2 linked regions of the Anolis sagrei genome follow. The protein of the gene in region 1 purifies or fractionates together with the protein of each later gene. This does not show direct contact. Links are inferred from orthologs where the notes say so. Each region holds a gene or a part of one and is shown in the gene's direction. Other genes may lie near its edges.

Evidence for each region. Proteins that work in one complex are often made in the same cells at the same time.
Region 2: the proteins of MCM7 (region 1) and CDC6 purify together in Homo sapiens (affinity purification with western blotting; 3 studies listed by BioGRID). This does not show direct contact. The link is inferred for Anolis sagrei from reciprocal best matches to the Homo sapiens genes MCM7 and CDC6.

The regions. Positions count from the first base shown.
Region 1 is NC_090024.1:246,954,735-246,962,692, reverse strand, and holds the start of MCM7 (DNA replication licensing factor MCM7), read left to right. Parts: upstream 1-4,596; 5' UTR 4,597-4,695; coding exon 4,696-4,753; intron 4,754-4,840; coding exon 4,841-4,938; intron 4,939-5,016; coding exon 5,017-5,181; intron 5,182-6,315; coding exon 6,316-6,455; intron 6,456-7,071; coding exon 7,072-7,252; intron 7,253-7,958. Other genes in the region: AP4M1 (AP-4 complex subunit mu-1), read right to left, coding at 996-1,108, 1,189-1,274, 3,064-3,121. UniProt on the Homo sapiens protein: Acts as a component of the MCM2-7 complex (MCM complex) which is the replicative helicase essential for 'once per cell cycle' DNA replication initiation and elongation in eukaryotic cells.
Region 2 is NC_090026.1:40,190,851-40,199,153, reverse strand, and holds the start of CDC6 (cell division control protein 6 homolog), read left to right. Parts: upstream 1-4,823; 5' UTR 4,824-4,911; intron 4,912-7,552; 5' UTR 7,553-7,560; coding exon 7,561-7,747; intron 7,748-8,303. UniProt on the Homo sapiens protein: Involved in the initiation of DNA replication. Also participates in checkpoint controls that ensure DNA replication is completed before mitosis is initiated.

The DNA.
Region 1 (7,958 bases):
CCCACTGTGCCACCAGGGTGTTGCTATTCGCTACCTTGATCAACACTGAATAGCCATGCAGCTTCAAGGTCTGGTTGCTTCCTGCCCAAGGCAATCCTATATCTAGCTAGCTATCTATGTATGTATGTATGTATCTATCTATCTGTGGAATGATGTCCAGGGTGGGAAAAAGAAAGAAAGAACTCTCGTCTGTTGGAGGCGAGTGTGAATGTTGCTATAGATCACCTTGATTAGCACAGAATAGCCTTGCAGCTTCAAGGTCTGGCTGCTTCCTGCACAGGAAATCCTATCTATCTATGGAATGATGTCCAGGGTGAGATAAAGAAAGAACTCTAGTCTGTTGGATGCAAGTGTGAATGTTGCTATTGGCCACCTTGGTTAGCACTGAATAGCCTTACACCTTCAAGGCCTGGCTGCTTCCTGCCCGAGGCAATCCTATATATATGTGTGTGTGTGTGGAATGTTGTCAAAGGTGGGAGAAAGAGAGAACTCTATAATCTGTTGGAGGCAAGTGTGAATGTTGCTACTGGCCACCTTGATTAACATTGAGTAGCCTTGCAGCCTCAAGGTCTGGCTGCTTCCTGTCCAGGGGAATCCTATATATATATATATATATATATATATATATATATATATATATCTATATATCTGTGGAATGTTGTCAAGGATGGGAGAAAGAGAGAACTCTATAATCTGTTGGAGCCAAGTGTGAATGTTGCTATTGGCTAGCTTGATTAGCATTGAGTAGCCTTGCACCTTCAAAGCCTGGCTGCTTCCTTCCTGGGGGAATCCTTTGTTGTGGGGTGTGAGCTGGCCTTGATGTAGGATTTAGCCAGGCATGGGCCAACTTAGGACCTCCTTCCAAGTGTTAGGAAGGTAGGAATTGGAGTCCACAACACCTGGAGAGAGGGAGGGCCCAAGTTGTCCCATGCATAGGGGCGTGGCCTAGCTGTGCAGTGGGCGTGGCCTAGCTCCAAGCCCCGCCCCCGACTGACCTGTTGAGGAACTCCAGTGCTGCAAAAGGTGAAGCTTTGGAAGGGATGGTGGCCACGAAGTAGAGCCCCCCATGACGCACATGCGCGAAGTGGAGCCCCGGGGGATGCGCCTCCTGCAGGAGAAAGGGAGGGTGTGACGTCAGAGGGTGAGTGACGTCCGGTGCTTCCCCCTTGGCCTTGACCCCCTTCTCACCATGAAGACCGGGGCCTGGTCAGGAGGCAGCGCCGTCACCTTCCGGAAGAAGTCCTCCACGAGGCCGGGGTGGCCCTCCCCACGGACTGTGCGCAGAGGGTCAAGGAGGGCAACGGGACCAGGGCCCTCCCCCACTGTCCCTCCCCTTCAGAAGAAGACGTACAAGCCACTCTAAACACCTTCGCAGAAGCATACGAGAAGCTCGCCCTCTCACTGAACATTGAGAAAACCAAGGTGCTTTTCCAGCAGGCACCAGCCAATCCCTCTCCAATGCCAGTGATACAGCTTAATGGTGTAACATTAGGAAATGTGGACCATTTCCGCTCCCTTGGCAGCCACCTCTCCACCAAAGTCAACATCGACGCCAAAATACAACACCGCCTGAGCTCTGCAAGTGCAGCATTTTCCCGAATGAAGCAGAGAGTGTTTGAGGACCGGGACATCCATAGGGAGACCAAGGGGCTTGCCTATAAAGCTACTGTCCTCCCAACCCTGCTCTATGCCTGCGAAATGTGGACTGTCTACAGATGTCAACATTGAGACTGAAATGCAACACCGTCTGAGCTTTGCAAGTGCAGCATTTTCCCGAATGAAGCAGAGAGTGTTTGAGGACCGGGACATCCGTAGGGATACCAAGGTGCTTGTTTATAAAGCTATTGTCCTTCCAATCCTGCTCTATGCCTGCGAAATGTGGACTGTCTACAGATGTCAACATTGAGACTGAAATGCAACACCGTCTGAGCTTTGCAAGTGCAGCATTTTCCCGAATGAAGCAGAGAGTGTTTGAGGACCGGGACATCCGTAGGGATACCAAGGTGCTTGTCTGTAAAGCCATTGTCCTCCCAACCCTGCTATACGCCTGCGAAATGTGGACTGTCTACAGATGTCAACATTGAGACTGAAATGCAACACCGTCTGAGCTTTGCAAGTGCAGCATTTTCCCAAATGAAGCAGAGAGTGTTTGAGAACTGGGACATCCGTAGGGAGACCAAGGGGCTTGTCTATAAAGCTACTGTCCTCCCAACCCTGCTCTATGCCTGCGAGACGTGGACTGTCTACAGATGTCAACATTGAGACTGAAATGCAACACCGTCTGAACTTTGCAAGTGCAGCATTTTTCCGAATGAAGCAGAGAGTGTTCGAGGACCGGGACATCCGTAGGGATACCAAGGTGCTTGTCTATAAAGCTATTCCCCTCCCAACCCTGCTCTATGCCTGCGAAACGTGGACTGTCTACAGACGTCACATGCAACTCCTGGAACGATTCAATCAGCGCTGCCTCCGGAAAATCCTGCAAATCTCTTGGGAAGACAAGCGGACAAACGTCAGCGTGCTGGAAGAAGCAAAGACCACCAGCATTGAAGTGATGCTTCTCCGCCACCAACTCCGCTGGACTGGCCACATTGCCCGGATGCCCGACCACCGTCTCCCAAAGCAGTTGCTCTACTCTGAACTCAAGAATGGAAAACGGAATGCTGGTGGACAGGAAAAGAGATTTAAAGATGGGCTTAAAGCCAACCTTAAAAACTCTGGCATGGACACTGAGAACTGGGAAGCCCTGGCCCTTGAGCGCTCCAGCTGGAGGTCAGCTGTGACCAGCAGTGCTGCAGAATTTGAGGAGACACGAGTGGAGGGTGAAAGAGAGAAACGTGCCAGGAGGAAGGCGCGTCAAGCCAACCCCGACCGGGACCGCCTTCCACCTGGAAACTGATGCCTTCACTGTGGGAGAAGATGTGGGTCAAGAAGAGGGCTCCACAGCCACCTACAAACCCACAAAAATAGTCATCAAGGAAGACCATCTTACTCGTCCAACGAGGGATCGCCTAAGTAAGTAAGTAAGTAAGTCTCTCCCCTTCTGCCCTTCAGGAAGGATACAGTCCTTGTAGAGGAGCCGGTCCCCTTGCGAGGAGAGCACGAACACCTCCGAGATCATCCTCGGCCCTCCAGGAAACACTCTGCACACGCCCCGGAGCACTCTCTTTAGCCTTACTTCCTGGAAGAAGCAAAATACTAGGGAGGGGGCGTGGCCTGTGGGAGGTCACGCCCCTCCCGCCTGGGATTGGCTCACAGGCGCTGCGTCACCTAGAGGCGTGGCCTGCACAAGGAAGAGTCTCCACCCTTCAGTGATAAAGGGAGAAGGGATTGGTTGAGGAATGTAGCGTCACGTAGAGGCGTGGCCTACACAAGGAAGAGTTTCCGCCCTTCTCTGCAAAGACGAGCAGGGATTGGTTGCGAGGTGTCGCGTCACGTAAAGGCGTGGCCTACACAAGGAAGAGTTTCCGCCCTTCTCTGCAAATGTGACCGGTGATTGGTTGCGAGGTGTCGCGTCACGTAGAGGCGTGGTTTGTATAACGGCAAGTCCCCGCCCCCGCCTGCAAAGGCGAGCGGTGATTGGTTGCGAGGTGCTGCGTCACGTAGAGGCGTGGTTTGTATAACGGCAAGTCCCCGCCCCCGCCTGCAAAGGCGAGCGGTGATTGGTTGCGTGGTGCTGCGTCACGTAGAGGCGTGGCCTACACAAGGAAGAGTTTTCTCCCTTCGCTGCAAAGACGAGCGGTGATTGGTTGCGAGGTGCTGCGTCACGTAGAGGCGTGGCCTACACAAGGAAGAGTTTCCGCCCTTCTCTGCAAATGTGAGCGGTGATTGGTTGCAAGGTGTTGCGTCACGTAGAGGCGTGGTTTGTATAACAGCAAGTCCCCGCCCCTGCCTGCAAAGGCGAGCAGGGATTGGCTGTGGCGTGCTGCGTCACTTAAAGGCGTGGCCTAGAGAATGAAGAGTCCCTGCCCTTCTCTACAAACGCGAGCAAGGATTGGCTGCGGAGTTGTGCGTCACTTGAAGGCGTGGCCTAGAGAACGACGAGTCCCCGCCCTTCTCTTCAAACGCGAGCAGGGATTGGCTGCGGGGCGTAAAGGCGTGGCCTGCATAAAGAAATTTCCCCGCCCTTCCCTTCAAAGACGAACTGGGATTGGTTGAGGGTTTTACGTCACGGAGAGGCGTGGCCTGCATACGGATAAGTCTCCGCCTCTCTTTGCATAGCCGAGCAGGGATTGGCTGCGGGGCGTTGCTTCACGTAGAGGCGTGGCCTGTATAAGAGCAAGTCTCCGCCTCTTTCTGCATAGCCAAGCAAGGATTGGCTGCGGGGCGTTGCTTCACATAGAGGCGTGGCCTATTGAATCGAGTCCCCGCCCTCTACTTCCAAAGCCGAGCAGGGATTGGTTCCGAGGTGTTGCGTCACGTATGTGGGAGCTGTGGAAGAGTCTCCTCCCTTTCGCGCAATCCCGAGCAGGGATTGGCTGTGGGATGGAACCGCGCGGACCAATCGGATTATGTCAATCTTGACTAGCGCGGGAAAAAGCCAGAGCGAGATGGAGGCGTGGCTAACAAGGAAGGAGGGCGGGGATTGACAGAAAGGAGGGCGGGGATTGGCTGAGTCGTGTGGAGCCGGCCAATCGGAGCAGCGCCGCCTTTTCCCGCGCGCGGGAAAAAGCAGTCAGAAGAAGAGAAGGCAGGATGGCGTCGGGAAAAGGCGAGAAGCTGGGCCTACGCGGGGACTACGACGCCGAGATGGGTGAGGGCAGCGAGGAAGCGGCGGGGAGGAGATGGAAAGGCCTCTCTCTCCCTTTGCCTGACGCTTCTTTTCCTGTTTTCCTATCAGACAAGGCGGCGTCCTTCCTGGAGGGATTCTTCTCCAGCTCTTCCTCTTCTCTCCCTTCGGACCAGGCCGGGAAACACTTCCCCTACCGGGAGCAGCTGGTGAGTCCGTGCCCGAGGCGGCGGGGAGAGTTCCCCGGAGGCTCCCACCCCTTGCTAACCTTCTCCCTTCCTGGGCAGACCCTTCTGGCGCACCGCGAGGCTTCCACGCTGCGGGTGGACCTGGACGACGTGGCCGAGGAGGACCCGGCCTTGGCGGAGGCCGCCTGCGAGAACGCCCCCCGCTACCAGCGCCTCTTCGCCGACGCCGCCGCCCGGCTCCTGCCCGCCTACAAGCAGAGAGAGGTCAGCACTCCTTACAACCAAGGGGGTGCTGGGAAATGTAGTCTTTTTGCCATTCTCTCCTAGGCCGGGAATAGACCCCCAAAAAACCAAAAACCGGCCTGGAACTACATTTCCCAGAATTCTTAGGGGGGGAGGACACTAAAGTTCTCCCTTGTCTCCTGTGCTATGCTGATAATATAATATGACATTCTGTATTATAATACAGGGTTAGTCAAAATGAATAGGCCAATAAGCCATTCAATTGAATGGCTTATTGGCCTATGCAGTTTGACTAACCCTGTATAATATATTGTATATAAATATATGATATTCTAATATATGTTGTGTGTATATATATATATATATATATATATATATATATATATAATATGATATTCTGATATATTATATATTGTATATACGTGTGGTATTTAGAAATATATATTATATGAACATATAATGTGATATCTGCAGGGTTAGTCAAAATGAATAGGCCAATAAGAGAATTAATTGTACCCGAATTGGCCTATTCATTTTGACTAACCCTGTATATTGCATAGATACGTAATATGGTATTCTGTAATATATATTATTGCATATGCATATATGATATTCTGAAATATAATATAATATTTTGCATACACATAATATGATATTCTGTAATATATTGCATATACATATAACGTGATATTCTGAAATATAATTTTTCCATTGACACAATATGATATTCTATAATATATTGCATAGATATGTAGTATGGCATTATAATAATATATTGCATAGACACATAATGGGATATTCTGTAATATAATAATTGCAAAGACACATAATATGATATTCACTAATATAATATTTTGCATCGAAACATAATATGATATTCTGTAATATAATATATTTTGCATAGACACATAATATGATACTCTATAATTTAATATATTGTCTATACATATAATATGATATTCCAGCAGAGAGAGGTCAGGATGCACAGCGGGGAGGATGCCGGGAAATGTAGTCCTTTGCCATTCCCTCTTAGGCCGGGAATAGCAAAATAAAAAACGCAGCCTGGAACTACATTTCCCAGAATTCTGATGGAGGAGGATGCCAGAGATAGGAAAATATAGAAGGCTAATAATATTGTGTTTCCGCTCTGCCTAGATTGTGCACAAGGATGCGCTGGACGTCTACCTGGAGCACCGGCTGCTGCTGGAAGGGCGCCGAGGAGGAGGCGGGGAAAGGGGGGCTGCGCAGTCCCGCCCCCCACAGAACAACTTCCCCGCAGAGCTCATGCGCAGATTGTGAGTCCCGCCCACAAAAGGGGAGGGGTCAGGGGGGAAGGGGTGGGGAAGCCATAAACAATATAAAACTATAAGAACAGACAACAAATAGTCAGCCATCACCAATTTAAATCATTATCCAGGGGCACTTGATCAGTTCTAAATAAGTCAACACGTCAGTAAGTCAGCCTATTCTCCAAAGGCCTGATCCCATAGCCAGGATTTTACTTGTTTCCGGAAGGTCAAGAGGGATTCAGCAGATCTAATTTCACTCGGGAGGGAGTTCCACAGACGGGGGGCCACCACAGAGAAGGCCCTGTCATTTGTCCCCGCCAGACGCGATTGCGACAATGAGGGGACAATGAGCAGGGTCTCCTCAGATAATCTTAGGGCCCTAGATATACATATTTATGTATACGTTTTTGTGCATTGGCATATCTTTGTCCCTAACAGTTCAAAAACTAGGTATATCAGTTTTAACAGCTGCAAAACATAATTGTCTTGCATGAATGCCATTTCCCAAAAGATTATGATTTCTAACAAGGTCGTGCCTTTGCAAAGATCATAACTTCTCCAAAACCTCCAACTCCAGCCTCCCCGTTTTGCCCCTCTCACGCTCCTCCTGTGCCCCCAACAGCGAGCTCTATTTCAAGGCTCCTTCCGGGATGAAGCCCCGAGTGATCCGTGAGGTGAAGGCCGACTGCATCGGGAAGCTGGTGACCGTCCGGGGCATCGTGACCCGCGCCTCAGAGGTCAAGCCCCGGATGGTGGTGGCCACCTACTCCTGCGACCGCTGCGGGGCGGAGACCTACCAGCCGGTGAGTTTTGGGCAGCCTGGCAAAAGGGGATTGAGGGCAGGGAGTGACTCAGCTGGAACCACAGAGTGCCTCCGATGAGGATGATGTGACTCAGGTTCACAGCCTGGTTCAAAATGTCCCTGTTATAGACAGTGAAGAAGTGCACTTTCCCACAGCAAGGCATGAGAGTGCTGATACTGAAAATAGCCAGGTGCAGATTGACTCAGAGAAGGAGGACAGTTCTCAGTCTGATAATGAGCAAGCAGGGAAACAGGCGGACACTAACGAACAGACTGACCTTGATGAAATGGGAACCTTAGATCGGGTTGACTGTTTGGAATTCAGAGTTCGAAGGAGTGTGAGAATAGCTAACAGGAAGGAGGCCAGAGGAATTCGAAGGAGTGAGAAAATAGCTAACAGGAAGGAGGCCGGAGGAGTTCGAAGGAGTGTGAGAATAGCTAACAAGAAGGAGGCCGGAGGAGTTCGAAGGAGTGTGAGAATAGCTAACAGGAAGGAGGCCAGAGGAATTCAAAGGAGTGAGAAAATAGCTAACAGGAAGGAGGCCAGAGGAGTTCAAAGGAGTGTGAGAATAGCTAACACGAAGGAGGCCAGAGAAACATGTTTTGCAAAGGGTATTAAGCAGTGTGTTTGGGACCCGGGCCTGTAGCCAGGATTTCGTTTCGGGGGGGCTGAGTCTGAGTGAAAGAGGGTCTAGCCTAGCAAACCT
Region 2 (8,303 bases), on another chromosome or scaffold:
CAAATTTAGATTCTTGGTCCAAGCGGGCATGGACAGACTTTGGCCCTTGAAGTTCCACGATTCCTAATAATGATAATAATAATAATAATAATAATAATAATAATAATAATAATCTTTATTTAATACCCCGCCACCATCTCCCCAATGGGGACTCAGGACAGCTTACACGAGGCCAAGCCCAACAGCATATTACAATAAAGTAAAACCAAAACAGAATAACAACATAGTAAAATACATACAACATATGAGTGCAATGACGATAAAGCAAAATCATACACAGTAAAATGACAAAGCATAACAATGAGCGGGGCCGCATGTGCAAGATAAAAATTAAGATATTAAAAATACTAAAATCAGGATGAGATGGGGATGGAGCAGATTGCTTGTGGGGGAGAAACTCGTAAAGGAACGGGGTCATAAATATAGATCTTCATACAGGTGGGGAATATACTCTGGGGACAAAAACCGTTGAGAAGGAGCAACTGTGTATGATAATATGACTACTCTACAAAACCGCTGGTAGGCTGTTGGGAACTGTGGGAGTTGAAGTCCAAAATACCTGGATGGCCGAAGTTTGCCCATGCCTGGTCTAAAGGATAAAATTTAAATATCTACAAGCCTTTAGATGTGAAATGCCCCCAAGACAGATTGCATTTTGTCATGTACATTTAGAGAACCTGCCACAAGTGGCTTTTAAATTGGTGCTGTGTGCCATTGTAGACCATGTTCTAATGTCCTGGGTGCAACTCTTCTTCCAGAAAGTGTGGGCTTTAAAAAACAGCATCTAGCCCCCCTGTATTATATAGAAATTCTTGGAAATGCAGACTGGTGGAATAAATGGCTGGGTAAATTGTATTGTATTGTTGGTCCTTGGAAAGGCCTGCACAGTTCTTTCATTTCATGGTTAACGAAAGTAAAATACATTATTCAGAACAGTAAATGCAAAAACAGAATTTATGTGAAATCACACAAACTGGCTTAATTTGAATGACATACAGGCTGCAGAAATCCACATTTCATGCGATGAGGGTTAGAACTACCCTGGTTGAGTTTTTTGTAGTGCGAGTTATAGGCATGTGCTGCAAATGAATGGCGAAACAGTATGAATGTGCCAGGGAACAAGTATCTGTGGTAGAGTGTATGTGATTGAATGGCAAGTTCTTCAAGCTTCACTCACTGTGCCTTACCCTTAAATGAGATGTGTGTGTTATGTTTTGGAGCAGGGGAATCACTTTCTCAACATGCAGTCTCCCCTAAGCTTGTATACACTGTATTTGCTGACTTTGATGCTTTTAACACTAACATTATCTTTGACTAGAGAACACTATTAGTCATGTTTCTCCAAGAACCAGAATATGGATCACATGCAACTAGGAATTCTCTTGATAAGGTATTTGGGAAGCTTTTGTCTTCTAAATCTCCTTTACAATGTTTTTGCTGCAGATAAATTGGCCACAAAGATTTTGTGCAAGCCTCACTCCCACAAACTGAGCTACCAACATGAGCACAGATGGTTTTCCTGTTGGGATCCTTGTATGAATAGAGCACATGACTGGTTTTATACTAAATACCTCCTTCCTAATTTTTTCCCTTAGTGGCACCTGCACATTTCTTTTAAAGTTCATTGTCAGCGGGTAGAAATTTAAGATGCAAGTGAACAGAAAAGATGTGTGCAGTTAGGCAGCAGTGAGTAGCTGTGTTGCAAAGATAGAAGTGCACTGGTTACAGCTCTGAGCAGAATATGTAGATTTTGATAATCTGCATCTCTTTCTCCTGAGTCTATATACCATTCATCACAATCTTACCTTTATTTCTAGTTAACATATTACTAGCTTCCATTGATCTTACACCAATGATATCTGCAAAACCTCTAGAAAATCTGGTTGAAGAGAGGAAAGAGGGGACTTCATTTTCACTCCTTACCTATTATGTTTGATGGTGCCTCTTTTATTGATTCACTATTTTGGAAAAACACTGTACCTAACCCACAGTAAGTGATGCTGTCTCTACTGAAAATGTAACTGCATCCATTGATGCACAATCAAATCTATGTCCATGATCTAATAAATTAATCAAATGCAAATGGTGTCCTCCTAATTTGTTTTCTGCCTCCAAGATCAATACGCTTTTAGTGAATGTATACCTTCAGTTGTGTGCCTTCAAATAATTTCCAACTTAAGGTAGCCATATTTTCCTGGCAAGGTTCATTTAGAGCAGTGGTTCTCAACCTGGGGGTCGCGACCCTCAGGGGGTCATTGGGCCATTTTCTGGGGGTCGTGAAGCCACCTCGGTTGGCCCGCCCCCTCCTGGCTCAGAAGGATCGATGGGAAGGCTCCCTGCATTGCTTGGCCCTCTGAGGAGCCTTTGCCACATGGCCCTCGCTCCCTGCTGGGCTCGGAAGAGGCACGAGGGTCAAGGGGAAGGCTCGCCATGTGGCCTAGCCGACTAGGGAGACTTTGCCACTCGGTCCTCGCCTCCTCGCCTCAGAAGGGGCGAGGGACAAGGGGATCCACTCGGCCCTCACCCCCTGTTTGGCTTGGAAGGGTCAAGGGGAAGGCTCCCCATGCGGCTTGGCTGACCGGGAAGCCTTTGCCACTCGGCCCTCAACCCCTGCTGGGTTCGGAAGGAGCGAGGGTTGAGGGGAAGGCTCCCTGCTCGGACTGGCTCTCGCTACCCAAGTTTGATCCAGGTCCATCATCGGTGGAGGCCGGTTTCTCTGGTTGTGAGTGAACTACAACTCCCAGAAACAAAGGTTAGCCTTCCAGTAATCAACTGTAAGCATATCAGCTATGTGTTCCAAATTTGGTTCCATTTCATTGTTGTTAGAATTCAAAATGCTCTTTGTTGGCAGGGGAACTATACATCCCAGCAACTTCCAACTCCCAAATGCCAAGGTCTATTTTCCCCAAGCCTCTCCAGTATTTTCTGTTCGTCATGGGAGTTCTGTATGCCAAGTTTGCTTCAATTCAATTCTTGTTGGAGTTCAGAATGCTCTTGGTTCGCAGAGGAACTATACATCCCAGCAACTTCAACTCCCAAATGTCAAGATCTATTTTCACCAAACTCCACCAGTCTTAAAATTTGGGCATATTGAGTATTTGTGCCAAGTTGGGTTCATAGTGCTCTCCGGATATAGAACTAGATCTCCCGTAAATTGCTGTCAATTCCTCCCAAACTCCTGCAGTATTTTTTATTGGTCATTGGGGTTCTGTGTGCCAAGTTTGGTCCAGGTCTGTAATTCATGGGGATTTCAGTGGTCTGTGGAAGTCAGAGCTGCATCAGTTGAAGGTACTGCAGATCCCATTATCTGTTGTCCATACTCCCCCGAACATTTTGTTTTTGTGATTAGTCACTACGCTTTAATTATGTTCAGTTTGTAACTATGAAAATACATCCTGCATGTCAGATATTTACATTACAATTCATAACAGTAGCAAAATTATGGTTGGGGGTCACCACAACATGAGGAACTTTGTTTAGGGGTCATGGCATTAGAAAGCTTGAGAATCATTGCTGTAAATAAATAAATATAGATAATAATTACATCAATATTAATATAAAATAAGTATATTGCTAGTAACATATTATATATATATATATATATATATATATATATATATATATATATTGCTAGTAACATTATTAGTAGAAATAATAGCCAAATCTGGGGAGCTCCAATGGATACACCCCTTTCACTCCATTCATTCTCGGAAAGCCCCGCCCCCTTTAACTTCTCGACCAATTCTTCCCTGGCAAGCCCCGCCCCTTAATTCCTCAGCCAATCATTCCTCTTCCGAGAAGGGAAGCTCCAATGGATGCACTTCTTTTGCTCCAGTCAGCCTTGGAAAGCCCAGCCGCCAGTAGCTGCTCAGGACACGCCCCTTTCAGCGATTGCTTCCCGCTCTGGGGAGCCCCGCCCACTAATGCCTCAGCCAATCCGTCCCTGGCAAGCCCCGCCCCCGTGTTTTCGACTGACGCGCGCCGAGAGTTCTTCTCAGCTGGTTGTTTTCCTCGGTGCATTTGGAACCCATTCTCAGCAGCCGGAGTCCATTCACGCTTTTGGGAATTATGGGAATTGAAGTTCAAAGCACCTGGAGGGAGGACCAGAGTTTGGGCATGCCTATGAGACAGCTGGGAATTCTGGGAGTCCAAAGCTACAAAGTGGAATCCATGACATGAGAGTGTGGAGAAGAGCAAACCACTGACCACGTACTACAATGCAACCTGAGCCCTGCCACATGCACAATGGAGGACCTTCTTGCATCAACACCAGAGGCACTCCCAAGTGGCCAGATACTGGTCAAAGGACATTTAATAGAATGCAAAGTCTGCAAACTTTGTGTTTTGTTTGTCTGTTTGATTTTAATACAACTGTTTTGGTTCGCTCCTGACACGATAAATAAACCTTCAAGGACTATGAGGCCCATTAGAATAGGTCAGCATAGCTTCAAGGACTATGAAGCGAGAATCAGCGTAATTTAAAGGATTCTAATGCCCATCGAGCCGGATCAACATAACTTCAAGAATTCTATGGCACAGCAGGCTTAATAGTTTTTTTTTAAATCAGGCTGGTTAGAGTTGAAGGAAGTTGCAGTTTGATTGACACGTGGAAGACCACGCACGTGCCCCCTCCCCGTTCTAAAGCGCTTAACCTGAACGTTCTAACCGGAAGCCAGGTCCTGGCTCTGACACTGCCCATGAGAAGACGAAGAAGCCTATGAGAGGTTTGGGTTTGGCGCGAAAAGCGGCGATTGGCTGGGAGGAGGCGGAGCGCGCGCTCCGGGGAACCAATGGGAGAGCTCGAGCGGACGGCTGGCGCGCGCGCGCGAGAGCCGGCAGATGCAATTGTCATATCAGAAGGAAGGAGATAGTGAAGAGTTTGGCGCGGTTTCCCTGAGAAGAAAACTGAAGGTAATTGGAATGCAGTTTTACCCCACTTTAATTGCCATTCATATGCTTTAAAACAGCTGTATTTGTGCAATATATTACTGTCATAATAGAGGAAGACAACTTATGTTGTAGACCAACTTTATAATATTGCTAATATTATAACGACTTCTTTACTGAATGAGAAAACTTGGGGTTTCTGTTTACGTTTTCCCCAAACTGGTTATTACTCAATACTCATGAAACCTCCATGTATGGATGGCCAAAATGCTGAATGCTGGAGATTTGGAACAAGCAATAATAAGATATTATAGTTATATATTTATATTGGATGGTATCCTTGAAGTGACTGGATTGACCTTGAAAGAGCTGGGGGTGGTGACGGCCGACAGGGAGCTCTGGCGTGGGCTGGTCCATGAAGTCACAAAGAGTCTGAAACGAATGAACATTATATGTAATATTACTAATAATATCATAATGTAATGGTATAGTACAATATAGTAATATTTAATACTGATATTGTACTATGCTAATAATATAATATATTGTATGTATATATATCTTGTAAGCCACTCTGAGTCCCCTTCAGGGTGAGAAGGGCAGCATATAAATGTCATAATAAAAAAATAAATAAATCACCTATATCAGGCATCTTCAAACTGTGGTCCTCCAGCTATTTGGGCCTTCAGCTCCCAGAATTCCTGGCAATTGAACAAACTCGATAGGGCTTCAGGGAGTTGGGGGCCCAAACAGCTGGAGGGCCACAGTTTGAGGATGCCTGACCTATATAATGTCCTGATTAAACAAATGTTTGGGTCATGATAATGTCTGACCAGCGTAGAATGGAAGTACATATGTTTACAGGTATCCCTCAGTTAACAGGTCTTCTGGCAAAGATATTTCTACAACTTTTTTGCATGCGTCACACCTTTTCCTCATCCTCTGTCTTGTTTTAGTAGCATTGGCATGGAGCCCCCAGTGGCGCAGTGGGTTAAACCCCTGTGCCGGCAGGACTGAAGACCAACAGGTCGAATCTGGGGAGAGGCGGATGAGCTCCCTCTATCAGCTCCAGCTCCTCATGCGGGGACATGAGAGAAGCCTCCCACAAGGATGATAAAAACATTAAAAAAAATCATCCAGACATCCCCTGGGCAACGTCCTTGCAGACGGCCAATTCTCTCACACCAGGAGTTACTCCTGACACGACAAAAAGCATTGGCATTGGGATAATGATTGTGATGAAGGGCACTGAGAAACATTCAACATCAGGTTGTAGCAATGTGTCTTTATTGCAATAAATCAGAGGTCTTCAGACTTTTAAAACAGAGGGTTCACAGTCCCACAGACTGTTGAGGGTTGGAATATAGCTTGAAAACAACATGAACGAATTCGTGTGCACACTGTACAAATAACCCATGAAAGAACAATAAAGTATTGAAAATGAAGATCAGTTTTATCCAACATAAACTTACCAGTATTTGAATGGGAAGTGTGAGCATGTTTTTGGCTGATGAGTCTATTTATTTATTTATTTATTTACTTATTTATTTATTTACGGTATTTATATTCTGCTTTTCTCACCCCTTGGGGGATTCAAAGTGGCTTACACAAATATAACAGCAAAATTAAATGCCTTACATGCATAAACCAAAACTCAAATCGACAACATATAACTAGGCATAAAATCAATAGGACAATTCACCATAAGATAAGATAAAAGGACATTTTAAACATGAAATATAAGAACTAAAACACCTAATAAAAGCATTAAAATCACACTATCCAACAATTAGGATTGTTATTGTTATATGCTTTCAAGTCAATTCAGACTTAGGATGCCCCTCAGTCTAAAGTTTAAGGGGGGGGGGGGGGGGAGAGATAAATGACCTTGGAAGGAAATGAAGAGTTATTGGTTACTGAGATCTTTCCTGAACAAGAAATGGACAGTATTTTGTGCTCCAGCCCAGGCTCAGTATTATTACTAAAGTGCTGGCTTTAGCCTATAAAACCCTAAATGGTTCTGGCCCAGCTTATCTGTCTGAATGCATCTCCCCCTATGAACCACCTCAGAAATTAAGGTCGTCAGGGGAGGCCCTGCTCTCAGTCCCACCTCCTTTTCATGTGCGACTGGTGGGGACGAGAGACAGGACCTTCTCAGTGGTGGCCCCTCAGATGTGGAACTTCCTCCCAGTGACATTAGATCAGCTCCCTTCCTCCCGGCCTTCAGAAGGAAAGTGAAAATGTGGCTTTGGGACCAAGCCTTCGGAGAAGTGCAATAGAAGGATTAGAAGAAGAATATATGCAATGACTATTGGAATAGCCTCAGATTACGATTGTGGATGGTGCAGTTTTAATAATGGTTGCAATGTTTTTAACTATTTTAATGTTCATTGATTTTAATCTTAATTTAAATGTTTATTTTAATTGTATGTTTTTAAGGCATTGAATAGTTGCCTATGTGTAAAGCTGCCCTGAGTCACCTTTGGGGTGCGGGGTATAAATATGATCAATAAATAAATAACTCCTGTAAGACAAAATTATACCTAGGAATAATATAATAGTTGAGATTTAAAAGGTGCTTCATATGCATGTGTCTGAAGCAGAGATTAGTTGTGTATGTTTTAACTTGTATACTGATTCTTTATATGCTTCTTTTTGGTTTTAGTATCCACCATGCCTAGTACCAGATCTAAGTCCCAAACCCAGAAACAGAATAAAATCGACTTTCCTAAGCGGAAATCAACCAGGACCCTTTGCCAGACTCTAGTTAAAGAAGAGGGTTCAAAGTTGAATTCAGCCCCAGTCTCACCACTCTCTTCTAAGAAGCAAGTCTTGCCTCTCAGCCCTCGCAAGCGGCTTGGTGAGTCAAAGTTTTCCAAAGCATCACTGGGCAGTGGCATGTATACATTAGATGTGTTTAAGTCTTCTTCTTGGTGCTAAATCAATATGTGAGGCTTCAAGAAATTATGGTAGAAAGTGGCCGTGTTTTCCAAAACACCACTGGGCGGGTTTTATACTTCAGAAGGTTTCACCTCACTTTCTGTCCCTGTGAGAATTGGATTTTGGGGGGAAAATGGCTTGTTGTGAAAATAAGGATTGACGAGAAAGCTTCAGTGGAGACACCTTTTCCTCATGATAACTCTTTCAGGAGTGAATTTCACTTCCAAGGGGTAGATTTCTCTCACTTCCTGTTGCCTCATCCCCGTTCTTAAGTCTGTGAGTCAGATGTTTGTACCTTGGGAACTGCTTGTATATGCAACTGAAAAGCACAGGTTCACACCACACTATTCCTGATCACTACGACTCTTAAGCCACCATTGACAGGTTCTTCATTTCCCATAAATACTAATTCATGTGAAATGAATTAGGTTAACCTGTTTGGATTGCTGTTGTGCTTGAAATAATTTTTGCTTTGA